Linked DNA regions of Sus scrofa. The protein of the gene in region 1 purifies or fractionates together with the protein of each later gene. This does not show direct contact. Links are inferred from orthologs where the notes say so. Each region holds a gene or a part of one and is shown in the gene's direction. Other genes may lie near its edges.

Region 1 (4,125 bases):
CTTTGGTTTTGTTATCAGAATGCCACTTCTAATTCTAAACATTATTATCTGGCGTTGGGTTCTTATAAATGGAATTTTTATTTGACATACAGCTTTTAATGGAACTTACTTTTAAATATCATGAAAGTTATCTCTAGCCCTTTTCTGCCTTAGGGGCTGTTGATAAGCACACCCTGTATCATAAGCCACATCAGTAGCTTCAGCTTCCTATTGGGAAATAAAACTCAAAGAGCAATCATCGCAGTGTGGCCAGATGATGGGAATATATGTTCATTTTAGGTGTTTGTTTTTTTTTTTTTTAATATTGTTTTTGCATCTAGTTTGAAGCCACTGGCTGGAAAAAAAAAAAAAGCATTTCTGGTTTGTTTGTTTGTTTTTTGGGGTTTTTTTTTTTTTTTTTTGGCTTTTTAGGGCTGAAAGTGCAGCATATGATAGCTCCCAGGTTAGGGGTCGAATTGAAGTTCCCAGGTTAGGGTTCTAATTGGAGCTATAGCTGCCGGCCTATACCACAGCCACAGCAATGCCAGATCCGAGCCGCATCTGCAACCTACAACCACAGCTCATGGCAATGCCGGATCCTTAACCCACTGATTGAGGCCAGGGCTCATGGATCCTAGTTGGGTTCATTGCCACTGAGCCCTAACAGGAATCCCAAAATGAGCATTTCTGATAGAAGCTTCTAAGAACTTGCTGGGTAGACTTGCTTGATTGCCTGTGCTTTATCCTAGTACCTCATTTTGTTCCTGGCATACGCTGTTTCTCACACTTCCTCCCCTCCCCTCCCCTTTTAGGATTAAGGTCAATAAATAATCTCAAGAGTACCTACCCTTGTGGTCTAGTAACCTGTGTCTGTTGCAGTTTGATGGCATCCATGTGGTGAGTGGATCTCTTGATACATCGATCCGAGTCTGGGATGTGGAGACTGGGAATTGCATTCACACCTTAACAGGACATCAGTCATTAACAAGCGGAATGGAACTCAAGGACAACATTCTTGTCTCTGGGAATGCAGATTCCACAGTTAAAATCTGGGATATCAAAACAGGACAATGTTTACAAACATTGCAAGGTAAATATTGCCTCCCCACCTTGACTTGTTCTCACTGAAGGGAGCCTGTCAGTCAGAAGAGAAATGGAGCGCTTCTTCTGTCACAGAAAGAATTAACCTCCTACAATATGGAAACTTCCTTGCGATAAGTTTATGAGCATTTCCATTCTGACTTGGCACAATGAGGCTACCCCGAGAAAGTGTTTTAAGTTGTGTTTTTAATATAAAATTGTTTAGTCACTTCTCAAATGTACATTAACTCTGCTTAGTCTTAATGTGGAATGAGATCTTGGCCACATCACAAGCAACGTACTCTTCATTTTTTGAATCATTATTTTATTTTATTTTATTTTTTGCTTTTTGGGGCCGCACACGTGGCAATGGGTTCCTAGGCCAGGGGTCTAATCGGAGCTAGAGCTGGTGACCGACACCACAGCCACAGCAACTCGGGATCTGAGCCTCGTCTATACCACCACTCACGGCAACGCCGGATTCCTAACACACTGAGTGAGGCCAGGGATCGAACCCACAACCTCATGGTTCCTAGTCGGATTCGTTTCCACTGTGCCAGAACAGGAACTCCTGAATCATTACTTTATTTTGAATTTGTAGTCCAATTTTAAAGAGCTGCCTTACTGAAAAAAAAAAAAAAAAAGAAAGAAATCATCTCTAATCTGTTAGAAAATTGCTTTGCCTCAGCTTAGACCTTTAACCATCTGCTTAAATAAGTTGGGAAGGAACCACAGTGCCTCCTAAACTGGAGAAGAAAACATGGGAAAGCCACTAATATTAAATGAGGCACAACAGGGTTAACTTCTTATATCACAATTAATTTCTTTTTATTGATCATAGCCCTTAAAATGGGGTTTTTGTCAAGGGGACCATCTGGTGGACTGTACTGCAGCTTTTTTGCTCATTGATTGTGTCTCTTTGTCAGAATTTTGGAGTAGTGTCCCTGAGGTTTTGCCTGTGACTGGTGGGCTACCTGTGGTGTAACACAGGTCTCAGGCTCAGTGTCTGCAGCTGGTCTGCCCACATCAGCCCCGAGAGCATCGCTCATTCCCACAGCCAGAAAACCAGATGCATGCCCAGTCTAGTCGCTAACCACGCTTCCTGGAAGACAGAACCCTCAGAAATTAATGTTTCAATTCCAGATAGCTCCCAGACTCTCTCACATCCCTGCTGATCCTCACATCCTCAGAACACCGTTTCTAGATGTGCATCATTTTACCTCTTTGATTGCTTGTGTATCCCAGTGTAGCTTCTGCACACGACAGAGTAACCAACCCATAGCCAGGGTTTCTCAGCAGTAATTGCATTCCTTTGGTTTTGCCTAGGTCCCAACAAGCATCAGAGTGCTGTGACCTGTTTACAGTTCAACAAGAACTTTGTCATTACCAGCTCAGATGACGGAACTGTAAAACTGTGGGACTTGAAAACGGGTGAATTTATTCGCAACCTAGTCACATTGGAGAGTGGGGGGAGCGGGGGAGTCGTGTGGCGGATCAGAGCCTCGAACACAAAGCTGGTGTGTGCAGTCGGTAGTCGCAATGGGACGGAAGAGACCAAGCTGCTGGTGCTGGACTTTGATGTGGACATGAAGTGACGCGCAGGAAGGACGGCATTGTCCAACGCCTAGGCGACGTACGTACTCCCTGCCCTTCCCCCTGCCAAAAAAAAAAGAAAAAAGAAAAAAAAAAAAAAGCAAAAAGAAAAGGAAAAGAAAAAAAATCCCTTGTTCTCAGTGGTGCAGGATGTTGGCTCGGGGCAACAGAGAGAAAAGACCTACAGACAGACTCGGAAAGAAAAGAGGAAGAGACGAGAAACCACAACTGACAAGAGAAGCTGTCATCTCGTCACGCAGAAGGCTTCACTTTGGACTGAGGGCAGCTTTGCAAAATGAGACGTTCTCAATCCACCCCGGTGCAATTATTTCTTTATTTTCTTCTCCAGTGGTCTTTGGGCAGCGTTCACGCCGAGACGTCCTTACAGATTCTGCTAGCCTGTTCTTCTACCACTGAGACCTGGAAAGAAGCTGCAATACCATCCACACAGTACCGGCGGACTTTCTGACTAGAGAGCATCTGCAACAAAAAGTCATTTTTCTGGAGTGGAAAAGCTAAAAAAGAAAAAAAAATTACTGTGAATTGTTTTTGTACAGTTATCATGAAAAGCTTTTTTTTTTTTTTTTTTTTTTTTTTGCCAACCATTGCCAATGTCAATCAATCACAGTATTAGCCTCTGTTAATCTCTTACTGCTTCCACATACACTCTTCAACGCCTATGTTGCTCAAAGGTGGCAAGTTGTCCTGGGTTCTGTGAGTCCCACGATGGATTTAATTCTTGATGCTGGTGCTAGAAGTAGGTCTTCAAATACGGGATCGTTGTCCCACCCTGTACTGTACTCCTAGTGGCCAAACTTATTTATGCTGCTACATGAAAGAAAGAAAAAAAAAGCAAATTATTTTTTTTTATTTTTTTTCTGCTGTGACGTTTTAGTCCCAGACTGAATTCCAAATTTGCTCTAGTTTGGTTACGGAAAAAAAAAAAAAAAAAGACTTTTTGCCACTGAAACTTGAACCATCTGTGCCTCTAAGAGGCTGAGCATGGGAGAGTTTCAGAAAATAAAGAGTGGAGTTTGCCTGCAAGTAAAGAATCGAGAGTGTGTGCAAAGCTTATTTTCTTTTATCTAGGCAAAAATTAAAACACATTCCTTGGAACAGAGCTGTTGCCGCCTGTTCTGCGGAGAAACTTCTTTTTTGAGGGCTTGTGGTGAATGGATGAACGTACACGATGAAACTGACAACATATTTTAAAAAAAGATATAAAACACAAAATGAAAATAAAGTTGCTGGTCAGTCTTAGTGTTTTACAGTATTGGGGAAAACAACTGTTACAGTTTTATTGCTCTGAGTAACTGACAAAGCAGAAACTATCCAGTTTTTGTAGTAAAGGCGTCACAAGCAAACAAGCGAAATGAATGAAAGAGATGGTTTGCCTCATTCTCCAAGAGCCACAACTCAAGCTGAACTGTGAAAGTGGTTTAACACTGTATCTTAGGTGATCTTTTTTTTTTT
Region 2 (3,964 bases), on another chromosome or scaffold:
GGTGGGAGTCGCGGGGGGTGGGGTGGGGGCTGGAGAAAGACTTGTCGGAGTTCAAGGTCGGCGAGGCGCGGGACGGCCCCGCGAGCTCGCAACTACCGCGTTGCCGCGACCTCCAGCCTGAGCCGGGACCTAGCTTTGGTTTTCATTGATTCCCTTTGCAAGAGCGCAGCCGAATCCCAACCGGCCGCACCAGTCCCTGTGAAGCAGAGCATGTTAATCTGTTTATATGGATTATTACAGAGGAACAGCGGGTGTTGAGTCACCAAAACATTTGTTTCAAAAGACAATTTCTAAGCACTTTCGGAGGAGGCAAGCTCCAGGCGCGGAAACTGGGCTACGCTTTAAGGAGCTACAGTTTTTTGAATACTGCAAACTCCCCTGGCTTAGTCCCCAAGACCGCGGAGAAAGCAGTGAACAGAAACGCTTGGGGGTGGGGATAGATCCTAGTCTACACACACACACACACACACACACACACGCACACGCGCGCGCGCAGAGATTCGCGCGGAGACGGTACCGAATTCTGACATTATGAGAGTACAGCAAACTTACACACTTGTAGGTCCCGGGTCCCCGCAGCACCCCCCCCCCCAAAACCCGCCGGACCAGCGGCAGTGCTCCCCTCCCCGCTCCTCCCCTCCCCTCTAGTCACCCAGCCCAGAGCCACAATCCTCCCCCCCCCCACCAGACTGCGCCAATCAGCTGCCTGACAACCCCCGAAATGCCGTGCTGTGATTGGCTAGAGGTCCCTAAGGTGAGGGGGTGTATTTATTAAAGAGCCCCTGGGCTGGGAGTTGGAGAGCCGAGAGCGGAGCTTGAAACTGACTGGAAACTTAAGTGGCGCCGCGACTTGCCAGTTTTACCCCCAGGAACTTTTCTTTGCAGGAGGACAAGAGAAAGGGTGCAACCGCCCCCTGCTTTTTGCTCTCTTTCTTCTCCTCCTCCTCTCCAATTCGCCTTTCCCCACTTGGAGCGGGCAGCTGCGGGCTGGCCACCGCGCGCCTTCCTAAAAGCTCGCCGCTGCAGCCGAGTGACGCGCCAGGCTTCCCGGGAGCCGCTCGCCCCGCGTCCGGGCAGCCGAGGGGAGAGGAGCCCGCGCCTCGAGTCCCCGAGCGGCCGCGGCTTCTCGCCTTTCCCGGCCACCCGTCCCCTGCCCCGGGCCTGCGTATGAATCTCCTGGACCCCTTCATGAAGATGACCGACGAGCAGGAGAAGGGCCTGTCCGGCGCCCCCAGCCCCACCATGTCCGAGGACTCGGCGGGCTCGCCCTGCCCTTCAGGCTCCGGCTCGGACACAGAGAACACGCGGCCCCAGGAGAACACGTTCCCCAAGGGCGAGCCGGACCTGAAGAAGGAGAGCGAAGAGGACAAGTTCCCCGTGTGCATCCGCGAAGCCGTCAGCCAGGTGCTCAAGGGCTACGACTGGACGCTGGTACCCATGCCGGTGCGCGTCAACGGTTCGAGCAAGAATAAGCCGCACGTCAAGCGGCCCATGAACGCCTTCATGGTGTGGGCGCAGGCGGCGCGCAGGAAGCTGGCGGATCAGTACCCGCACCTGCACAACGCGGAGCTCAGCAAGACTCTGGGCAAACTCTGGAGGTAGGAGGGCGCGGCAGGGTGGGCTCCGCGGTGGCGGGGGGCGCTGGCTGCGACTGTCTCTTCGCGCCCCGCCTCCCAGCAGGAGGGAGTTGACGGTCCGAGAGCTGGCGGGGCGGGGCGGGGGGGGGCGGTTGGAATAGGGACGAGGTATAACTTGGCTCACAGTTTGACAAAGTTCTTGGATTGCTCTTGGGGAATGGGGGAGGGGTAGGTGGAACGGGGAGGAGCCGTGGCGGGGGTGGGGGGGAAGCCGGAGAAGAGGAGAACACTTGTAGGAGACGCGGGGGGGGGCGGGGGGCTGCCAGCCGGATCTCCCGCCGCTGCGAAGTTCAATCCCAAGTGGGGGGTTGGGGTGGGAATTGAAGTTTGCCTCTGTTTGCCTGAAACTGCCCTCTCTCGTGAAGCCCTACGTCCAAAGAGATGGGATGCAGGGTGGGGGGAGAAACCGAAGCTAGAGGGCCCCCTGGCAGGAAGGGGCGGGGGAGAAGAGAGGCTGCTAGAAATAGGTGGGGGGGGGCTGCCATGGCGGGGCCAGGAGGAGCTCCTTGCAGATTAAGTGGTTTTTTAGAAAGTTTTTAAAGGATGTTGGGGACGGAACGGGGCGGGGGGCGGGTATAACTCCAGTAGCAAAGGCCTGTAGAGCGGGAGCAGCGAAGAGCTATTTTCATCTTCAGGGCTTCCAAAATAGAAGAGAAGGGGAGAGGGCGGGGCGGGGAGGGACCGGCTCAGGTCCGACTAGAAGAACCGAGATTTTTTTTTTTCCTTTTTTTTTTTTAAGAAAAGTTTTGAGCTGCAGTAGCGGGTGGAACGTGGGGAGGAGGGACGACGGGGGCAGTGTTGGAAGAGGCCAAGTGGTGGGGGCCACTCCCCCTCCCGCGGATGTGACAGCTCGGCGGGTTTCACAGAGCCCCTCTCTCTTTTTCTCTGCGCCCCCCCTCACCCCGCCCCCAGACTGCTGAATGAGAGCGAGAAGCGGCCCTTCGTGGAGGAGGCGGAGCGGCTGCGCGTGCAGCACAAGAAGGACCACCCGGATTACAAGTACCAGCCGCGGCGGAGAAAGTCGGTGAAGAACGGCCAGGCGGAGGCCGAGGAGGCCACGGAGCAGACGCACATCTCTCCCAACGCCATCTTCAAGGCGCTGCAGGCCGACTCGCCGCACTCCTCCTCGGGCATGAGCGAGGTGCACTCTCCCGGCGAGCACTCGGGTGAGTCTCCTCCCGGCCCCCAGGCCAAGCCACCGCCGCCACCCCGGCCTGGCCCCGACCGGCACACCCCCAGGCCACCACCTGGTGGGCTCTGCTTAGGGACTTTGAGCTTCTCGGGAAAGGAAACTCTAACCGCTATGCCTAGTCCTCCTCCCCTCCCGGCCCAAGGCCCCAGAAATACCATGAACACACGCGCGCGCGCGCGCACCCCACCTTAATCCCAGCATCCTAACAGATTAATTTTATTGCGAGGTAAAATGCCTTCACAGCTTTCCAGGACCTCTCCCTTTTTCACTTGGCTCCCCCACCCCAAAAGCACACACAGGGCTCTTCTACTAGTAGCAATTTGGTCTTCCGGACCCTCGGGGCCTCAGACGCTCCCCTGATAAAAGGCGAAGGCCTAATGTGTACTGGCGGGTTAATCATTGGGCGGTTTATCTCGGGTGCAGCTCGCCTCCCTCGCGAATGCGGGACTCTGGAGCGAGGCGGGAGGGTCCCTGGAGGGTTCCTAAAACTAAAGCCTTGGCACAGCCCTGGTTGATTTCCCTGTGCTTCTTTCTCTTTGCCTGCAGGGCAATCCCAGGGTCCACCAACGCCACCCACCACCCCCAAAACCGACGTGCAGCCTGGCAAGGCTGACCTGAAGCGAGAGGGGCGCCCCCTGCCAGAGGGGGGCAGACAGCCCCCCATCGACTTCCGCGACGTGGACATCGGCGAGCTGAGCAGCGACGTCATCTCCAACATCGAGACCTTCGACGTCAACGAGTTCGACCAGTACCTGCCGCCCAATGGCCACCCGGGGGTGCCGGCCACGCACGGCCAAGTCACCTACACGGGTAGCTACGGCATCAGCAGCACCGCGGCGACCCCGGCGGGCGCGGGCCACGTGTGGATGTCCAAGCAGCAGGCGCCGCCGCCGCCGCCGCCCCCGCAGCAGCCGCCGCCCGCCCCGCCGGCCCCGCAGGCGCCCCCGCAGCAGCCGCAGGCGCCTCCGCAGCAGCCGCAGGCGCCCCCGCAGCAGCCGCAGGCGCACACGCTGACCACGCTGAGCAGCGAGCCGGGCCAGTCCCAGCGAACGCACATCAAGACGGAGCAGCTGAGTCCCAGCCACTACAGCGAGCAGCAGCAGCACTCGCCGCAGCAGATCGCCTACAGCCCCTT
Region 3 (3,972 bases), on another chromosome or scaffold:
CTGAGCAGACTTCTGCCCACCAGACACCACCCCGGCCCTAACTCCACCAGACAGGGTGCACGGTGGAACAAGAACCTGCAGACTCTTAGCAAGCATTCATTGGAAGGCAAAATTCTAGATTTCATTGTTTTTCAATAGTTCCTGAGTCTCTCGCCAAACTGGACAGCCTGCACGGAGCAGCTACCAAACAGCACTCAGCACACACTCTATCGTGCCTAACTAGCTACACAATTACAACGGCAAGTAAAAATGGCACAAATGTTTTGGGCACAAACACAAACAGCCGCTGATGAATACAGAGGCAAAAGCACTACAAGTGGGTGAGCATGGTGCCCAGAGCTGCCTGCCGGCCAGGGAGCACCACGAGCACTTGTCACAAGTGAAGGGGCAGCCTGATAAACCAGCAACGTGGAGTCCCAGCTGCGAGGCTCGACTGCACAAGCCTGCTATGGCTTTCTACCACCGAGATTTGATGAGATTTGATGACACCCCCACAGCGCGGCTGGGGTTCCGCTGGACAGGAAGAGCATGAGTCCAGCTAAAACGGGCCGTCCAGTGCAGCAGGCGCTGCTTTCTCATCCTCGTTTCCTCTTCTACAACGTCTAACGTGTCAGGAACATTTGGCTATACAAGCAGCTACTGCAGGCTCAAATCTTCTGCGCCCAGATGACAATTCAAAGGCCCAGGAAGACCGCTGCGCAGGACGCCGGCTCTCCTTCCTTATTCTCTCCGGCCCAGACCTTCTTCCGACCCACACAACCGCCAGCCAGCTCCCTGCCCAGGACGCCCCCGCAAGGCCGCCGGGGCGGAGGACAGGAGACCCCTCCCTCCTCGCATTCCCAGGCCCGCCGGGCGCTGGGCGGGATCGCTCCCCGGCCGGTGCCGCGGCCCAGCCCCGCCGCCCCCCCCCGCTCCCGCTCCCGCTCCCGCGTCACCTCCTCCGGCTCCCGCCCCGGCTCCAGCATCCGCTTCCCGGGCCGCGTCCCGGCCACCGCCACGCGCCGCGCGCCCTGAGGTCCCGCCATGCCGCCCGCCGGTCTGCCCTGCGCCGCCACTTCCGGCAGCGACGCGACCGCGTGGGCCTGGGGGCGGGCCCGCGGGGTCAGAGGGCGCCGGGCGGGACGGGGGCCGGTGTGCGTGCGCGCGCCGTGGGACGCGGGCGGCGCCGGCGGGAGCGCGCCCGTCGCAAGATGGCGGCGGCCATGCCAGGCCCCGGGGCCGTGTGTGCGCAGCGGGCGGCGGCGCGCGGCCCGGGCGGCAGGCGCGGCAGCGGCGCTAGCCCGGCCCTCAGCCCCTCCTCGCGGTCCCGCCTCCGCCTCTCCCACCTTGCCCGGTATGGATCTGCCCGTGGGCCCGGGCGCGGCGGGGCCCAGCAACGTCCCGGCCTTCCTGACCAAGCTCTGGACTCTCGTGAGCGACCCGGACACGGACGCGCTTATCTGCTGGAGCCCGGTGAGGGGCCGAGGGCGCCGGCCCGGGGCGGGGAGGCCGCGGCGCGGGGGCCCAGGACGGGCAGGCCCGGACCCCGCCTCGCAGGCCCGGTGTGGGGGTGGGGAGCAGGGGGTAGTGCGGGGAGAAGCGTCGCAGGCCCGCTGGAGGTCGCTCCTGTCCACGCCGCTCTCCCGCGTTGGGTAGGAAGGGCTTCTGCCTCCGTGGGCTTGCGCTTGCTGCCTGTGGGACGACTGCGGGACGCGTCTGTGCTTAGAACAGCCCCCGGCTTCGCTAGTGGACGCTGGGCCCCGGTGGCCCCAGAGTTCCAGTGGTGTGGTGGGCAGTTATTCAGGGTAAATCAAGTCTCGGCCCTGGAACTGGAGGGCGTTTCTCTAGTTCGAAAGGAGAGGGAGCGAAAACAGAAAGCACAACGTCATAAAGTTCAGGCTGGTCTCGAGCCCGGGTCCAGATCCCAGAGCTGCTTTCCCAAGAGCGACTCGTGTTTCTTGCTCTGTGCGCGACTTTATTCACGCCCTGTCTCCCGTTGCCTGGCAGCGGGCAGGTGATTTACATGGTCTGACTCCGCAGGCTGGACAACTCCAGTTTGCGGAGGTTGGACTTGGAGATGGACGTCCTGGCTGTGACGTCGAGGTGGGGCAGGTCGGAGCCACGGCTCGCGGCTGGCAGGGGGGTGGCCTAGGCCACCGTAGTCGTAGGCAGGCTCCGGGCGCCTCCAAACGTGCTTACTCTCCTGAGCGCCCAAACGCTGGATTTCTTGGACCCCACTGAGTTGTTGCCTGTCATCCTGCTGAGCCCTTGGAAAGGAAGAGCAGTCTGGGCTGAAAGGAGCCCAGAGCTGGAGGCCACGTTCTCTCGTTCCACTTGTCCCTTTGAGGAGACCAGAAACCGTGCTGCATTCCCTTGGGGACACTGTGTGTTGTCCCAGCAAATATCCATGTGGCGTTCTCCATCCCAGGCCCTGTTTCTTTAACGGTGGGAACCACCCCTTGTTCCAGGCCTTGAACTTTGCCGGCCAAATGAAATGACCCCATTTTTCTGTCTTTTTCCCTTCTCCCTCTTCTTGTCCCTTCCCCGTAACTCCCGTTTGGGGGAGGGCACCAGAGGTCCTTTGGGATGAACCTACTGTGGGGACATCCCGCCTCTCAGTCTGCTCCAGGCCAGGCGAAGCACAGCCAGCGTCAGCTTGCTCCCCAGGCCTCACGGCCTGTATTCCAGGCAAAGCCTGGAGCAGGAAAGCGGACATGGTCCAGCCCGTGATGGTCTCTACTCAAGGTGGCTGCGCCCCCAGGCATGGTCTCCCTGGGGACAAGCGGCCATGGAGCAAGAGCTTTTGATCCTCCTTAGTCTGTACACAGAGCGAGTAGGGTGTGCTTGGTGCAGGACGCAGTGGGGCTGGCCCTGAGAAAGGAGACCAGCCCCTGCCTGGGGCCGGCAGGGTGCCCACAGGACCCCCGGGCCTCTGTCTCAAAGTCCGCTTGGAGCCCTTTGCCGACTCGCAGCCTGGAGTCCTGCTGTCGGAGGCCCCGGACAGGTCTGACGCCTGTGCCCTTGGCCCTTCCCCTTTGTGCTGGAACTTTGCTCATTGTTCCACCAGGAGAAAACCTCTGCCTGTGGCCCAGGGAATGAGGGGGAGGAGGAGGTGCAGTGGTCGACTCTGTGGTCTGCGTGATGCATGACCACGGGCGGGTGCCAGCCCTGGGAGCTGGGGCCGGCCAGCGGGTCGCTGCTCCAGAGGCACGTGTTGGTTTGCCCGCCCTTCCAAAGCCTTGTCCCGTCAGATGCGCCCCGTGCGGCGCCACGGCTGAATAGGCAAGGGCTCCCGCGGGAGGGGACTTGGTGACCGGGAGTGTGGCCTTGGGAGTGCTACCACCACGCCCCCTGGGACATAATGGGAGTCAGACCCTTCTGGCCAAGACTGAGGGCCTCTTTCTCCCAGGAACCGGACCTTGCCAAGGCCACCAGCCCAGGTGGCCCAAGTGAGTGCCACACTCAGGGATCGCTTGAGAGGGGCTAGTGTCCAGGTGGAGCACGGTCTCCGTGGTCAGGTCCCCAGCTCCCTGTGAAACCCCTGGCCACTCCAAGCTGGCAAAGGACCATTTCCAGAGACCCCAGGACAGGCAGGGCCGCCCTCTCCCCTGCCCGGAGCCAGGCGGGCCCCACCAGCCTGCTGAGCTGGTCCTCCGTGCAGGAGCCCGCAGTTGCCCCCGTGCTGGCTTCGAGGGCCACTGCAGAGCCTGGAGGTTCCCGGGGTCCCTGCACCTGATGAGCGTGCGTGGCCGCCGAGCAGGCCTCTGCCTGCCGCAGCCAAACCTTTTCCACACGGAGCCTGTCGCGCCTCCCATTGCCCTGCACGAAGGTGAAGGTGGCCTTTTTACAGACGCGAAACCTGAGCCTCGGAGGTGACAGGAAACGCGAGGAAGACCCTGAAGTGCACAGGCCCTTTGCCCGCCTGCCCCACCGACCGCGCTCTGACCGCGCCGAGTGTCGAGTCTCCAGTCGGGCGTGGGGTCCAGCTCGGGC
Region 4 (3,992 bases), on another chromosome or scaffold:
CATTTCTGCATTTCTTAGTGCCTGGTATTCAGTAAGCGCTCCTGGGCGAGGGTAATAAACCTTAGTGCAAGAGCTTAGCTTCCCTGTGCATGGGTGCAGGGGTTTGAATCCCATCTCCTCCTCTTCCCAGCTGTGGGCAAGTGACTTAATCTCTTTGTGCTTCAGTTTTCTCATTTGCAAAACACGGACGACAGAGTGAAACCTTGAGACACGTGGACATGCTGTCTGGCCAACAGCGAGCCCCACCACCCAGTCGCCCAGGCCGTCAGAGGCACAGGTTAGGGGCCCCAGCTCTCCGCGGCCACTGCCACAGGCATTCCGGGGGTGAGGTAGCGCCGCGTAAAGATCCTAGCACCCGAGGGGGCGGGGCGCGGCGCCCAAGCGGGGCAGCGCACAGCAGCCTGAGGCCGCTCGCCCGGCCGCTGCCAGCCCGGCAGCCGCGCCGCCCGCACTTCTTTCTCTCCCTCCCCGTCTTCCTTCTTCTCCCGGCCGGAGAATCCGATCGCACTCGGCTCAGCAGCGCCGCCCGCGAGCCCCGCCGCCGCCGCCGCCGCTCAGGGCCCCTCCCCCGTCCCCCCTCCCCGCGCGGCCGGCGCCCGTCACGTGATAGGGCGCTAGCCAATGGCGGGCCGAGCCGCGGTCGGCGGCCGCCATTGCTGTCAGAGTGAGAGAGCCCGGGGAGGGAGGAGAAGCGAGGCTGACTGGGGAGGAGGAGGGGGGGGTGGGGGAGGAAGAGGAAGGAGGGGACGTCGCTCGGCTGCCGGGGTCGCCCGCTGGCTTCGTCCGCACCCCCCCTTCGCGAGTTCGCGCTCCGCGGCTGCGGCGGCTCCGAGGCGGCGGCGGCGGCTCCGGGGCTCGCCTCCTCTCACGCGCCGGCGGGGGCCGAGGGGGAGTCGGTGGCTGGAGATAAACAAGGCGGCGGCGGCGGCGGCGGCTGAGGAACAGGGAAGGCGGAGGCGGCGGCCGGCCCGCAGCGCCGGCCCGGGAGGCAGCGGCGGCCCTGAGAGGCGGGGAGGGCGCCCGGCCGCGCGGACAGCGCCCCCCGCCGCCGCCGGAGCCGCCGCCGCCGCCGCGGGAGCAGGAAGGAGCCGCGCGGCCGCCGCGGACCCCCCCGCCGGCCCGGGCCCGCCGCCCCCGGCGCGGCGTCGCCGCGGCGCCTCCCACCCGCCCGGCGGCCCTCCCGCCCTCCCCCGGCGGCGGCGGCGGCCCGGCTGCCCCGCGCTCTCCGGCGAGGCGCTGCCGCCCGGCCCGGCCTCGCCTCGGACGCCTCGCTCCGACATGCCCCGCTCTGGCGGCCGGGCTCGCGGAGGATCATGACTGCGGCAGCGAACTGGGTGGCGAACGGGGCGAGCCTGGAGGATTGTCACTCCAACCTCTTCTCGCTGGTGAGTAGCCGGGCTGCAGGGAGGGGGCTATGCCGGGGTGGGGGGGGGTCCCCGACCTCCGCCGCCGACCTCCGCCGCAGACCAACTTTCTCCTCCCGCCGCCGGGACTTCGCCCCTCCCTCGCCTCTCCCCGCCGTTCGCCTCTCGCTGATTCTCCCCCTTTTGGATCGTCTCTCCCTCGCCTTGGATCCCATCCAGTGTTTATTTGGCTCTTTAAAAATCATTTGTGAGCGCGGCGCTCGGCGTGGAATTTGCATGTAGAAGTCTCAAAGCTGCGGATTCTGGGTCGCACTTCGAACGCCCACCCTCTGTTGCCATCGCACTCCCCTTCCCCTCCCCTTCCCCCCCTTTTTTTCCTAAATGTGGAAAGCTTTGCCTTGTGCTGCCCGCGCCTGCGATAAGCAGCCTTTTTCCCCCCTTGTCGGATGGGCTGCCCGCCCGCCCGCCTTTTGAATTTTTAAAAAATTCCATAATGACACCTGCAATTTCGCCCGAAAACAGTTGATTGAATGCGATTGTGTCAGTAAAGGACTCTTGCACCCGAAGCTCCCGCGATTGTAAACATCGACAGCCGCCTGCCTCTTGGGGCTTACTACGCTGGAGAGCCGTAAAGCCATTGCACCGAGCCGACGGAAGGTGGAGAAAGCTTTTTCTTTTTTCTCTCCTCCTGTGTTTTTTAAAAAACTGTTTTCTCTCTCCTAACACACACACACATACACACACACACAGCAGCAGCAGCAACAAGCTGGGCGGTTTGATAACATCGCTTTTATCTGCCTTCATCTCCCTCGCGCTCTCTCTCTGATAATTGACAACTTTTCCTTCGGATTTGAATCGCCTGCCTTAATCTTGAAGCAGTTAGGGTGTCAATTGTTCTCCTGGAAGCCTGGCACCCGACGACGGCGTCTAGATTCAGCGAAATTAAAAATGTATAGGGCTCCAGCAACTCTTTCCTGGCGGTGGCAGTGACATTTGGTGGTAAATGCCATCTTTGCTTTTTATTGGGTCGTATTACCTAGCTCTGAAAACATTCACGTTGTTAAACCTGGCGTTTAGGCTAATAATTGCAGTGCGTGGTCTTTAAATATGTGCTTTGTGCATGGGTTACTGTATATATAGCTATGTGCCCGGGAGACTACGAATTTGTTTAAATATTGAGCAAAGATTTGTAAACAGATGTAAGGCAATTATGTTTCAGGCGTAGAATATAATTGGAAAATTGGCTGAACGGTTTGTTTAATTTAGCCTTAAAAAAAGAAAACCCCAACTTATTTTAAGTTTTGTATCCTTTTTGGGGGGGACTGCCTTTGGAGAGCTTGCATTTTTGAAATTGTTTTCTGTAACCCCTGCTGTAGATAGGAGCATTATTTTCTCTTAATCCTTGTTTACACTGGATAAATAATTTAGTGTTCAAATTGTAATTAGTTGCATTTAATTATGGGTAGCATAGATGCTTTTTTTTTTTCTTTGAGACTAGTGGAGAAATACAGATTCTTGCCAACTTTTCAAATGGAAGCTTTATTTTTTTAAATAAATTTCATTATGCAGATAAAAAAAATCAAAACGTGATTTTTACCTGCAAAGACCCAATGACATAGTATCTTTGCTTTCACTGTAATAAGGTCAAGTCAGTTTTTTCAACATTTTTATTTAGATATTTAATCTTAAAAATCAATGATAAGTTGCGAGTCTTCTTTATACTGTGAAAATTTTCCCTTGATCTTTTGCTATGTGGAACTAAAACTCATTTTGCTGCTGCTTTGCTCCTCTCAGTCTGTCATTTAGTATTAGTCAGATGCAGGGACTTCCATAGATTAGCAAACGTATTGATTAAGGGGTATTTAAATGGTTTTTGTTTGGCGGCTGGTGACCACTTTGACACTTTAACAGGGAATTAAAATAACCGAGTAGACCAGTATTAGTGAGGAGAGATTCCAAATTACCATATATCATGCTGACTAGCAACGGCTTGTATGTATGTGGCTAATTTATATACAGTACGTTTTGTAGACAAGTCAAAGTACATGTGTAGCCTGTCTTTTGGAGATATCATTTTTTTATCTTTTTTTTTTTTTTTAAAGCTTAAGTAAGAATGATAATGTTATAGAGATAAGATGCTTAAGATTCTTTTGGAGAGGCAATTTGTATGCTTTGCTGTGCTTTATGACTGACTGAAGGTTTATGCTTTAGATTTTCTAACCTTTTTAAACCAGGAATTGATTTTTGAATATACTTTTTTTTTAAAAAAAAAACAATTACTCTTTAGGTAGCAACTTTGAAATGCAGAACTGCAGCGTTGTTTGGGTTGATTTTTTTTTTTTTTTAAAGGACTGTAGAATGTCTACATTCTATTGTATGTAGAAAGTGGATAGGTACAAATTAAAAAAATTTAGGATTCAGAGCTGTTGATAATTATAAATTTTACTCATTGCAAATTGAGAATTTTCTTGAAAATTAGATATAGCAGCAACCTAGAATATCAAAAATATTTTGCCTAAAGTACATTGTTTGGAATTGTTCATTCCAAAGGAGATAAAATCATCACCTGCTCAAAATAAAGCATGTATTATAAGAACTTGTGGTGCATAATAATAGCATACATTTTTC
Region 5 (3,981 bases), on another chromosome or scaffold:
AGGGACCGAACCCGCAACCTCATGGTTCCTAGTCGGATTCGTTAACCACTGCGCCACGATGGGAACTCCTCTTTCTTTTTTTTTTTGGCTGCGCCCTCAGCATGCAGAAATTCCTGGGCCAAGGATCAAGTCCAAGCCACAGCAGTGACCTGAGCCACAGCAGTAATACCAGATCCTTAATCTACTAGGCCACCAGGGAACTCCTAACCCATTTCCTGTTGATGGACCAAGTTTGTAGAGTGGTCCAAGAGAGGAGAGTCCAGATCCCAGTGAAATGCAGGATGGGTTCAGTGTAGCCTTGGAAGGACCCTTGCACATAGAAGACAGGTGATCTAGAATGATCCAATCCAGAGGGCAGTGCCCTTTGGGGCTGTGGAGGTGCCTCTCTCAGACTGGAAGGAGGGTTCATGGGGAGAATGTGTTCTAAACACTGGCTTCCACTGGCCAAGCAGGATATTCAGTTCTGACCTTGCCCTTTATGTCTGTCTTCCTTCCCAAAACCAAATTCAGCTGTAGGAACAATTCCTGAGTCAAGAAAACCCAAACCCCTGCTTCTGGCCACATCCTAGGTAATCACAACAGGTTCACCCAGGTACCAAGTGCCATCCTTCCCTCTCCTGTACACAGAAGCTCCCTGGGATGATCCAGATGGCATGAGCTGCTGCTGCTCTGTGTGTGTATGTGTTTGAGAAAGAGACAGATGGGGTAAGGGTTGGGACAAAGGGAGCTGGCTCTTCTGGAAGGGTTTGTGGGTGGCTAAAAGTCTGGGAAGAGTTGGCTTGGGGGCAGAAAGCACAGTGTGAGTATAAGCACAGGCACAGGAGGTTGCCTGGAACTGTCAGCAGGCTCAGGGGGCCTGAGGAAGGCCATCTCCCTTCCTCTTCACATTTCTACCCCCTCCATGCTACAGTCCCCTATCCAGGTCCTCCATGAGGCCCCTGCACCAGTTGGTGTATCACTAAAATGACATCTTCCACTCCCTCTGGCTGGGCTGGGAAACTTCGAATGAGATCTTGTCCGCTCCTTTAAGGCACCTGTTTTTACACCCCAGGACCCCATAATCTCCTCTCCCCCAAGCCGGGCTCTGCCAAGATGCTTTGCTGACTTGACTTCATGCGACCTGGGAGAATGGGGGTGCTCTGCCCTGCAGAAGGTTGGACCACCTCTCATCATCCTCGATCTCTCCCCCTTGTCTTTCTTTTCTTCCTCTTTTCCCCCAAATCTGGGGTCTACTCCTACATGCCCAGAGCTGCCTTGTCCTCCGCCACCCCAGCCCAACCAGGTAGGGGGTTTCCTAGGGTCTGCGAAAAGCCTTTGGGTAGGAGGGGAACAGAAGTCCCAGGAACCTTGGGGTGCCCGCCTCTACAGTCGCTAAGGCAAGGACCTGGCCGGGGACACCGAGCTGCTGGATTGGACGATTGGGCACGAGGCGCGATGTTCCCGCCCCTGGTTGCCAGGGCCCAGCCTATCCGCGTCCAGGCGGGCCTTGGTCGCCAGGTGGTTGGGGTGGGGGCTGGGGCAGGTGTGTGTGTGAGAGTGGACGGGGAGGTGGGTTTAGGCTGGGTCCGGGACCCCAAGGAATTTCCCCACACGAAGCCCATCGGGTTGGGTGTCTGGGGTCCTCAGGCGCAGCCGCGGGGAAGCTGCCCCTCCTTCCTACGCCCACTGCCCACCCCCCCCCACGCCCCGCCACTACTCAGCGCGCTGCCGCCTCCGCCTCCCGGGTCTGCATCCTGCGCGCGCGCCCCCTTCTCCCCCGCCCGCGGCCGAGGGGCTGGCCCGCCTCCCCGCGCCGCCGCCCTCCGCCCCCTCCCCTCGTCTGTCCTCCGTTCAGAGCCGCCGCGGCGCTCCTACCCGGCCCCACCCCAGGAGACCGAGCGTGGAGCGGCTGGAGGCCGGAGCCAGAGGTGAGCTCGGCGCCAGCAGGTGGAAGGCGCCGCAGACCAGGGCCCAGCCTGGGGGAGGGGACGGGCTCCGGACGCGGCTCTTTGTTTCCTGGAGCCCGTTCGCGGGCAGCCGGGGCCGCTCCTCCTCCTGGCAGGTGCCTGCATCCCTCCAGGAAGCCCAGGACGGCGCTGGGGGTTGGCGAGGGAACCCGAGATTCGTTCCCGTCCTCCTCATCTAGAACCTATGGCAGCCACCTGTCTCGACCCTGGTGGTCAGGGTCCCTGAGGGGGCGAGTGGTGGTGGTGGGGTGAATCTCCCGTCTCGGTCCCGAGAGGGAGCAGAGGCGGGGGAGAGGGTGGGCTGAAGCAGGCAGGGCCTGGAGGAAAGCGGTGAGGGTGGGACTTAGGGACAACGGTGAGCAGCTGCGCTGATAAGTGTCGGGTGGGTGGGAAGTGGATATAGGCGGAGGTTTGGGCACCCATGGGTGGCGACGCTGGGGAAGGAGCTGAGAGATGCCAAGACCCAGGTTCCTGCAGGCAGTGTAGCTGTCCAGGACCTGGGATGCTGATCTCTTTCCTCATCAGGTGCGGTATGGACAAGAGGGACAAGTCCAGGGCAGGGGTGGCCGGTCGTACGCCGGCTTCTCGCTCTCCTGGCCTTCCGATCCCCAGGCCCCCTGGATCTCCACGACCCCCTCCCCCAGTAACCAGCGCGGCTCTCCGTGTTCTGGGAGCAGCGGGAGCTGCAGGGCGAGGGCCTCTTGCAGAGCGAGCTGGTGGCATCCGGGCAACTGCTCTCGCGGACGCTTCCCCTAGGGTGGGACAAACGCGGAGCGCTGGGACAGGCCCCCGAAGCCCAGGTACTCCAGCCTCTTTGCCCCATTCTGATCCCATCTTCTTGCCCCCGATCCTCTGAGGCCCCAGCCTACCCTTTCTTTCCGGGGCACCTGTGTTGACTTAGCCTTCTCCCTACAGCCTCCAGACCCCCAGGAGCTGGGAAAGGGGAGCGAGCCCTTGCCAAGACCCCAGGCTCAAGCTGTGTCTCTAGCCCGGGGCGTGCCAGTGGACCTACCAGGTAACATGCCCCCTCTCCCCTGGTCCCTTAGGCAAAGGTTAGTGTCTTCATCTGGAATGTTTTAATTAGTGTGTGGGAGCAGTTGTTCGTTACTAGGCTCATATTGGTGAAAGCTATTATTGGTTGGCAGAGGGCATATGCCACAGTCATAGATGGGGAAATGTAGGCTAGGGAGATGAAGCAAGGAGCTGGGACCCTGCCCTGAGCGCACCCCTTCCTGTCCCCAGGCTAGGCTCCCCAGGGCAGAAGGGGCTCCGGCCCCCAGCTGAGGAATCTGTGGCCAGAGGAAAAGCCCCAGAAGCGCCCAGAAGGAGTGCCCTGAGTGCCGGGGCACGGAAAGGTATGTGACATGGGGAGGAACGAAATTCCTGGGCTATGAGGGGGACCAGCCTAGAATGATCGGTGACCCTTTGGCCTTTTTCTTTGTCCCCAGACTCTTCTGGGTCCACCCCAGCCATCCCCTCTCCGGCCATCTCCCGTCGGTCCCGGGCTGTGGGCATTGAGGTGGGTGTCCCCAGGGCAGCTCCGAGTACCCGGCCAAGACTCCCGACTGAGGCTTCGAGGAAATCAGTGAGCACCGCCCCAGAGCGCAGTGCTCCAGAGCGCAGCGCCCCAGAGTCGAGCCCTGCCGCCAGGAGGAGATCCAGCGCCGGTGGAGGCCTCCAAAGGCCAACTGCGCGCCCCGTGGGCTCTACCGCCACCCCTCTGTCCTCCCCAGCTCGCTCCGGGGTCTCGCAGACTGGAACACCTCGGGCTCTGGGGCATCCTTCGCAACCCAAGTCCAAAGGACTGCAGGCTCTACGCCCTCCGCAGGCCACACCCCCAAGAAAGAGCGCGGCTCCTGTGAAGGGCCTTACTCCTCCTTTGGCCATATCCTCTCTTCCCTGTCCCACCGCAATGCCTCCCGGAATCACTGCCGCTCCAGTGCAGGGCTTGCTCCCACCCTCTCCACAGACCACACCCCCTTCCCCGGCCCCTATCTTTCATTTGGCCACGCCCCCTGAGCTAGCTCCTCCTTCT
Region 6 (3,937 bases), on another chromosome or scaffold:
TCTGAGGGCATCTGTACTAATCATTCACATTTCAGCTCCGATTTAAGGTCGAAGTGCTGGCTCAGAACGCTGTGCCCTCAACACTGTGCAGTCGGGCTCCAAGAATCCTGCAACAGCAGCTGTCTGAGATCATGTTCTACATTCAATTCCCTGCTAGGAATCACTGGTTGTGGCCAGAGAGCCTTGTCTTTCCACCTTTATCTCTCTAACCATTTTTAACATAAAATGAAAGAGATTGCTTTGGAGCCCTTTGTGGGCTACACCTTAGACTTGCTCTAAAAATTAGTGTCTGATTTCTGCAGAGTTTTTAAGGTTTAGGAGATGGTGGCTGTTGATTTAGCTGCTGAGTCATGGGGCTGGGACCACGGTTTTAAGAAGTCTGAAACATCAGTGTATTGCCGGTGAAATCACAAACTCTCCTTGCCGAGTTCATATAATTTTTTAGGAAACATTTTATAATTTCCTTGTCGCTTTTTTGCTGAATTTAATCCTACAGTTCTTTCTTCCTAGTCAATAGAAAACAAATGATTGTGGACTCAATAGGACTTCACCTTTACCACACTCTAAGAGTTAAGGAAGTACAGCAAGTTTTTACAGCTGGCCAGAAGAAACGATTAAACTCAAATACATACATGAATCTATGCAAGACGATGTGGAAAATATGGCAATGTATGACATTGTTTTAGCTTACAAACTCACAAACTGGGAAAATACGAAAAGTAACTCCATTAGAAAAGGAAGCCCTCCCTTGAGCAGGGAAAGCGTGCAGAACTGATCTGAAATGGGTGTGAGTTCTTTCTCAAGAAGAGAAAATAACTGCGCCCACTCTTGCCTGTTTTCATTTGTCAGACTACAGTGTAATGTTACCTGTTTTGAACTTTGAGAAATCTCCAGGTTTATGTGAAATTCCAATCTCAAAGCATCACATGCAACATTAAGATCCACACAGCGAACTAACCCAGGGCACGCACGTGGGAAGTGTGTAATTAAGGGAAAGTCAATTTCCTTTTGGCTCTCGGTCTGATACTCAGGTGTGACCAACGACAAGGACAAAGGAACCAGGTCACCTTGGCGGGCGGCCGGGCGCGCAGGCGCGAGTGGGCGCACGTGGCCCGGCTAGCGGCTCTGCGGCGCGGGAGCGCAGTCTGGCCACGCGGCCGCCAACGTCTCCAGGCCGACAGGGTCGCGGGCACAGCGCTGCGGGGAGTGGGGTGGGCCGGCCCGGAAGGGCGGGCTGCGAAGGTCGTCACCAAGGTCGTGGGCCGGACGTGCGGCGCCGGAGCGACGCTGCGTGCGTGCGGGACTCGGAGTACGTGACCGAGCCCCGAGCCCTCATGCCGGCCGCGCCGCCCCGCCCCTGCCCCGGGGCCCAGGCGGCACAGACCAGGCTCAGCCTGGGGTCCCCACGTGGGGCGGGAGCGAAAGGAGGCGGGGGCTCGCGCGCCCCCCATCCCGGGCGCCGGGAAGTCAGGCCCCCAGCCCAGCCCCGCCCGACCTCTGAAGGATGTCGCCCCCTCTTCTGGGCGGTGGCGGCCACCGCAGTCTCGCCTCTCCCTGGGAGGGGAGGGCCCGAGTGACGGCGCGCCGGGCCAATGGCGAGGCGGCACGGAGTGGGCGGGCCCGAGGGGCGGGAAGTGGGCGGGGTCTCCTGAGCAGGGCAGGAAGTCCAGGCCCGCGGCGCAGAGACTAGCTGGGGGGACTCGGAGCGCCCGGACCTTTTGGCTTAACGCTCGCTCTCGGCGTCTGCAGCTCCCTCTGCTTATTCCTCGGGCGGCGACCTTCAGCGGCCGGGTGAGGACTCGAGGGAGGGCTGCCGAGCAAGCGCCCGGGGAAGCGGCTCGTGGGTCCCCCAGGCCCGCGGGCGCTCCTGTCCCCCAGACGGCGTGCCCAGGGTTTCGGCGGGGGCCGGGAAGGGGTTTGTCGGCGCGCGCGAGCGGCTCCCCGGGGCCAGACTCGCCGCCCGAGATGAGGGCGCGGCGCCGGGATTCTCCGAAGGGGAAGGATGCAGCTCAGCCTGTGATTACGTGTTTCGGAGCCGCGTAACTGTCCCGGGAAGTCGGGGGTGGAGCACGCGGTCCCCAGGACAGCAGGCGGTGAGAGTGGATGGTTTGGGGAGTGCTCCAGGCCCAACCCGCGTGCTCATTAAAGCCAGGCCGTTCCGAAAATGCTGGGAGGGGCCCGGAAAGGAGACCTGCCCGGGAAGCGCAGCCCCTGCCTCCTGCTGGTGGCCTGACGTCTGGGTGTCCAGCCCGTCGCTGCTCCGGGATGAGCAGGCATGATCCGCCTTCAGAAGGCTCTTGTTCATGGGGAAGCTGCAGCCGAGCCGTGTGGTCACTGGGAAGCCTTCCAAGCGACCTCGCCCAAGTCGGGCACGAGCCGATCCCGGCTCCCCCGGCTGGCCACCAACAATCGGCCCCTTATCTAACATAAAAAGGATGTATTTTAAGAAAAATTCTCTTTCTGTGCTTCCTCTGCAGGGAGGTCTTCCCCATGGGCCGTACGGGCCACTTGTTGACCTGCCCTCGGCGCACCTAGGTGGCGGCCGGCGGGTCCACTCACGCTGCCCCTGGTCCGGGGTTCAGTCCAGGCAGATAAAAAGCTAGTCTGACGCACCAGTCTGTGATCCCTGAATTGTAATGAGTTTGGGGAAAAGTTTTTCTATCCAATTTAAAGAGAAGTTGAATTTTTTTCACATCATGAAATAAGTTGATTGCCTTAATATAGCTAAAATGAAACAAAAGATAAAATCCTCACAACTTCAAAGCAAAAATCAGGGGTGGGGGAGTTCCCATTGTGGCTCAGTGGTAACGAACCCAAGCTAGCATCCATGAGGACGCAGGTTCCATCCCTGACCTTGCTCATTGGGTTAAGGATTCCACCTTGGAGTGAGCTGCAGTGTAGGTCGCAGATGCAGCTCAGATTCGGCCTTACTATGGCTGTGATGTAGGCTGGCAGCTGTAGCTCGGATCTAGCTCCTAGCCTGGGAACTTATATGCACGTGTGGCCCTAAAAGGAAAAAAAAAAAAAATCAGTGGTGAGTTGGGGGAGGGGCTGGAAATGGCTAAAGGGGACTTCTTCTTTTTCTTTTTTTTTATTTAAAGGGGATTTTTTCTGGGTGATGAACATGTTACAGAGGTATATGATTTGCCAAAACTCAAAAGTTACCAAATCTTCAAACTAAAAAATATGTTGAAACAAATTGGTCTTTTTGTACGATAACAGAAACTAGATACCTTTTTCCTGGCTAATGAATAAAACTCCATTGTTACATAGACAACAAAGCCACAGAAGTGACTTCAGTATCTAATTTTGAAAGTTAAAAAAAAAAAAAGATGCTATTTGCTGCTTCAGAACATTCCAGAGAAGACCCTGGAGGGGAGCCCAGCTAGATAATGGCTTCTGAACTTCAGTTTAGTTCCTCCCAGTCCTACAGGTCGTTCAATTAGTTTCTTCCTTTTTGAGCCCTGGGTTGGGGTGGGGGGGAGAAGCAAGAAGGGAGCTTTCTTTGAGGACTTGTTATTTCCATCCTTTTTGTTGTTTTTTTTTTTGTTTGTTTGTTTGTTTTTTAAGGTGTTTTCAAAGGAAGCCTCTTCCCTTGGTACACCCTAGTGCCCACAGATAGACTCTTTCCTCTAGTTACAAATCATGGCATTTTATAATGAAGTTTTTTTAAAATGGGGTAAAATAAAATGCCCATTGAAAGGACCACTAATTAGATAATGTTATTGGTGTGTCCTTCTTTGCTAAAGACCCAACTACTGTGAGGTATGAAAGGCCCGGAAATTGACACAGACCCGGGGCCCACTCCAGGCCTCCAAACTCAGAGTTTCTAGGTGATTATGCAATATCTCCCAGTTGAACATCCTGCTGCAACCTCAAGTTTAACTTGATGCATTATGTTCCCAACTTTTAATTCATTACATACCAGATTTTCCCC
Region 7 (3,500 bases), on another chromosome or scaffold:
AATCCGACTAGGAACCATGAGGTTGCGGGTTTGGTCCCTGCCCTTGCTAAGTGGGTTAAGGATCCGGCGTTGCCGTGAGCTGTGGTGTAGGTTGTAGGCACGGCTCGGATCCCGCGTTGCTGTGGCTCTGGAGTAGGCCGGTGGCTACAGCTCCGATTGGACCCCTGGCCTGGGAACCTCCATATGCCGCTAGAGCGGCCCAAGAAATAGCAAAAAAAAAAAAAAAAAAAAAAAGAGAGAGACGCAGCTCTGGAGTCAGAGATCTGGATTCAAATTTCCAATCCTCACACTTACTGGCTGTGTGATCTTGAGAAAACTGCTTTATCCACCTGAGCTCTAGCTTCTCTGTAAAATTAGGAGGATAATTTTATCTGCCTCATTGTTAGTGTGCAATGAGGCATTACATGTTAACTGGGCATAATGCTTGGTATATTTTAAGTACTCAATAAATGGTAGCCACTGTTGCTCAGCCACAGAGCGCTTATTTTATGTACTTGCCTAATAAAAGACATACATGGAAAAAACACTACAGTGTTGTTTGTTCTGAGAAGTGTTGGGGTTTTTTGTTTGATATTCTTAAATTTTTAAAGTATGAAGCAAGGGTTGGCAAACTCCAGCCTGTGGGCCAATTCTAGACACACTCATTTGACTGCCTATGGCTGCTTTCATGCTGCAGTAGCAGCAAAGTTGAATTGTTGCAGGAGAATCTTGCTGGCCTGCAAGTTAAAATATTGGCCTTTTAAAGAAAAAGTTTGCTAATTTCTGGTGAAGAGCAGTGTTTATGGTGTATTTTGGTGGTTTGTGGACAGTTTTTATTATAAGGGTATGTTTTAATGTGTATTACAAAAAAAAAGATACAAACTAATATGCCAAACCTGTGATTTTGTGTATATTCTTGCTTAGGACTTGTGTAAAAAAAAATCAAGCATTAAAATGAAGGGACCAGGGGAGTTCCCGTCGTGGCGCAGTGGTTAACGAATCCGACTAGGAACCATGAGATTGCGGGTTCGATCCCTGCCCTTGCTCCGTGGGTTAAGGATCTGGCATTGCCGTGAACTGTGGTGTAGGTTGTAGACGTGGCTCAGATTCTGAATTGCTGTGGCTTTGGCGTAGGCCGGTGGCTACAGCTCTGATTAGACCCCTAGCCTGGGAACCTCCATATGCCGTGGGAACGGCCCAAGAAATAGCAAAAAGGCAAAAAATAAAAAATAAAATGAAGGGACCAGTTTTTCTGTATTTGAGCTCTTTTTGAAATGTCATCGTATGAATTTTAAAAATATTGATGACTATTTTTGTTCCATACAACAGGGCTCGTCGGAAAAAAGGATCTGCCAGAAGATTTGGTCTACAGAAACTTTGGGAGTGGTGCTTAGGACTTGTACAAATGAGTTCATTACCGTGGAGAGTTGTGATTGGCCGTCTAGGAAGGATTGGTCATGGAGAATTAAAAGGTAAAATTGTGCTTTTATTACTTAATAAAAGCAGAGAGTTTTGACTTGATGATGACTCTTGTTTGAGGAATATATTAATTTTAGAACCATTTGTTTTAACTTTTGTTCTATAGAATGTTAACAGTGTTTGTACTTCGGATATTCTTATTTTTTTACTGTTGATACCCACAGATTGGAGCTGTTTGTTGAGTCGTCGGAACTTGCAGTCTCTAAGTAAAAGACTCAAAGACATGTGTAGAATGTGTGGTATATCTGCTGCAGACTCTCCCAGCATTCTCAGTGCTTGCTTGGTAGCAATGGAACCCCAAGGTTCTTTTGTTATTATGCCAGGTTAGCTATCTTTAATTTATATCAGATTTAATTCTTTATGCACTTAAGTTTCTAAGTTTCATGTAAAATCTATTTTTCATTTATTAAAAGAAAACATGCCTTTTATTTTCTTTTCAGATTCTGTATCAACTGGTTCTGTATTTGGAAGAAGCACCACTCTAAACATGCAGACATCTCAGCTAAATACTCCACAGGATACATCATGTACTCATATACTTGTGTTTCCTACTTCAGCTTCTGTGCAAGTAGCTTCAGCTACTTATACCACTGAAAATTTGGACTTAGCTTTTAATCCCAACAATGGTACGTGAATTGTTCTGTAAAGGTTTGCAAATATAAAATAAATATGGATGATTATGGCTGATTATATATATAGATAATGCCTCCCAAAACATCTGTGTCCTGTGAATATTCCTGAAACCTGTGAATGTTACCTTATGTTGGGGGAGAGGGGAAAGACTTTGCAGATCAGATTAAGTTAAGGATCCTGAGATGGAGAGTTTATCCTGGCTTTAGCAGGTGGACCCAAAGTACAATCATATATATCCTTATAAGAGGGAGACAGAGGGATGTTTGACTATACACAAAAGAGAACAAGAGTTCCCTGGTGGCTCAGTGGATTAAGTGTCTGGTGGTGTCACTACTATGGCTTGGCTTATAGCTGTTGCGTGTGTTCAGTCCCACATGCCATGGGTGTGGCAAAACAACCATAAGACAAACAGGATGTTTTAGAGGAAAGTAAAGAAGTAAAGCCAGGGAAGTTCTTGTGTGGCACAGTGAGATAAGGATCCGATATTACTACAGCTGTGGTACGGTTTGCAACTGCTGTGCTGCTTCAGTCCCTGGCCCCAGGAACTTGGCACATGCTGTGGGTGTGGCAAAAAAAAAAAAAAAAGGTCAGAGGGAAAGACTATGCTGCTGAATTCGAAGATGGAGGAAGGGGCCATGGGCCAAGGAATGCAGGGAGTATAGTTCTAGAAGCTGGAGAAGAGAAGGAAGCAGACTTTCCCGTGGAGCCTTCAGGGAGAGCAAAGCCCTGCCAGTACCTTGATTTTGGCCTAATGACCAGAACTTTGGTTTCAATCCAATACAACTGATTTTGGATTTCTGGCCCCAGAACTATAAGAGAATAATGTTTGTTGTTTCAGGTCAATAGGTTTGTGGTAATCTGTTAAAGTGCAATGGGAAACTAATAAAATCATTCTTCTACCTCAGTATTATCAGAATACTGTGAATTATCCCATAAATGTTTACTTAGTTTAAAGGCAACATTAATCATAAAATATATGTACAAATTTATGCTCATAACCTGTACATAAACTTTGCAGTTCATTTTATATTCTTTTCTATTTCGTTCTTTTAATGATTTTTATTTTTTCCATTATAGCTGGTCTGCAGTATTCTGTCAATTTTCTACTATATAGCACGATGACCCAGTCACACATACACATATGCATTCCTTTTTCTCACATTATCATGCTCGATCATAAGTGATTATAGTTCCCAGTACTATACAGCACGATCTCATTGCTTATCTCTTTTCTATTTTGAATTTTTTTAAATTTTTTAAAAAATTTTTAATTATTTATTTATTTATTTTTTTTTTGTCTTTTTGCTATTTCTTTGGGCCACTCCCGCGGCATATGGAGGTTCCCAGGCTAGGGGTCGAATCGGAGCTGTTGACACTGGCCTACGCCAGAGCCACAGCAACGCGAGATC

What was found.
Region 2: the proteins of FBXW7 (region 1) and SOX9 purify together in Homo sapiens (affinity purification with western blotting; 4 studies listed by BioGRID and IntAct, with this or other methods). This does not show direct contact. The link is inferred for Sus scrofa from reciprocal best matches to the Homo sapiens genes FBXW7 and SOX9.
Region 3: the proteins of FBXW7 (region 1) and HSF1 purify together in Homo sapiens (affinity purification with western blotting; 4 studies listed by BioGRID, with this or other methods). This does not show direct contact. The link is inferred for Sus scrofa from reciprocal best matches to the Homo sapiens genes FBXW7 and HSF1.
Region 4: the proteins of FBXW7 (region 1) and MED13L purify together in Homo sapiens (affinity purification with mass spectrometry; 4 studies listed by BioGRID, with this or other methods). This does not show direct contact. The link is inferred for Sus scrofa from reciprocal best matches to the Homo sapiens genes FBXW7 and MED13L.
Region 5: the proteins of FBXW7 (region 1) and PRR36 purify together in Homo sapiens (affinity purification with mass spectrometry; 3 studies listed by BioGRID and IntAct, counting the BioPlex papers as one, with this or other methods). This does not show direct contact. The link is inferred for Sus scrofa from reciprocal best matches to the Homo sapiens genes FBXW7 and PRR36.
Region 6: the proteins of FBXW7 (region 1) and ENO1 purify together in Homo sapiens (affinity purification with western blotting; 3 studies listed by BioGRID, with this or other methods). This does not show direct contact. The link is inferred for Sus scrofa from reciprocal best matches to the Homo sapiens genes FBXW7 and ENO1.
Region 7: the proteins of FBXW7 (region 1) and MED13 purify together in Homo sapiens (affinity purification with mass spectrometry; 5 studies listed by BioGRID and IntAct, with this or other methods). This does not show direct contact. The link is inferred for Sus scrofa from reciprocal best matches to the Homo sapiens genes FBXW7 and MED13.

Annotation. Positions count from the first base shown.
Region 1 is NC_010450.4:76,695,027-76,699,151, forward strand, and holds the end of FBXW7 (F-box/WD repeat-containing protein 7), read left to right. Parts: intron 1-858; coding exon 859-1,069; intron 1,070-2,385; coding exon 2,386-2,654; 3' UTR 2,655-3,625; downstream 3,626-4,125. UniProt on the Homo sapiens protein: Substrate recognition component of a SCF (SKP1-CUL1-F-box protein) E3 ubiquitin-protein ligase complex which mediates the ubiquitination and subsequent proteasomal degradation of target proteins.
Region 2 is NC_010454.4:8,644,516-8,648,479, reverse strand, and holds the start of SOX9 (transcription factor SOX-9), read left to right. Parts: upstream 1-1,164; 5' UTR 1,165-1,167; coding exon 1,168-1,598; intron 1,599-2,549; coding exon 2,550-2,803; intron 2,804-3,375; coding exon 3,376-3,964. UniProt on the Homo sapiens protein: Transcription factor that plays a key role in chondrocytes differentiation and skeletal development.
Region 3 is NC_010446.5:483,666-487,637, reverse strand, and holds the start of HSF1 (heat shock factor protein 1), read left to right. Parts: upstream 1-1,172; 5' UTR 1,173-1,190; coding exon of another isoform or gene 1,191-1,335; coding exon 1,336-1,452; intron 1,453-3,972. Other genes in the region: ribosome biogenesis protein BOP1, read right to left, coding at 936-1,025. UniProt on the Homo sapiens protein: Functions as a stress-inducible and DNA-binding transcription factor that plays a central role in the transcriptional activation of the heat shock response (HSR), leading to the expression of a large class of molecular chaperones, heat shock proteins (HSPs), that protect cells from cellular insult damage.
Region 4 is NC_010456.5:36,062,837-36,066,828, forward strand, and holds the start of MED13L (mediator of RNA polymerase II transcription subunit 13-like), read left to right. Parts: upstream 1-1,192; 5' UTR 1,193-1,313; coding exon 1,314-1,385; intron 1,386-1,464; exon of another isoform or gene 1,465-2,021; intron 2,022-2,066; exon of another isoform or gene 2,067-2,363; intron 2,364-3,992. UniProt on the Homo sapiens protein: Component of the Mediator complex, a coactivator involved in the regulated transcription of nearly all RNA polymerase II-dependent genes.
Region 5 is NC_010444.4:71,322,595-71,326,575, forward strand, and holds the start of PRR36 (proline-rich protein 36), read left to right. Parts: upstream 1-1,181; 5' UTR 1,182-1,239; coding exon 1,240-1,907; intron 1,908-2,471; coding exon 2,472-2,746; intron 2,747-2,861; coding exon 2,862-2,961; intron 2,962-3,188; coding exon 3,189-3,301; intron 3,302-3,394; coding exon 3,395-3,981.
Region 6 is NC_010448.4:69,398,865-69,402,801, reverse strand, and holds the start of ENO1 (alpha-enolase), read left to right. Parts: upstream 1-1,137; 5' UTR 1,138-1,309; intron 1,310-1,633; exon of another isoform or gene 1,634-1,791; intron 1,792-3,937. UniProt on the Homo sapiens protein: Glycolytic enzyme the catalyzes the conversion of 2-phosphoglycerate to phosphoenolpyruvate. In addition to glycolysis, involved in various processes such as growth control, hypoxia tolerance and allergic responses.
Region 7 is NC_010454.4:36,417,241-36,420,740, forward strand, and holds part of MED13 (mediator of RNA polymerase II transcription subunit 13), read left to right. Parts: intron 1-1,308; coding exon 1,309-1,451; intron 1,452-1,622; coding exon 1,623-1,781; intron 1,782-1,898; coding exon 1,899-2,084; intron 2,085-3,500. UniProt on the Homo sapiens protein: Component of the Mediator complex, a coactivator involved in the regulated transcription of nearly all RNA polymerase II-dependent genes.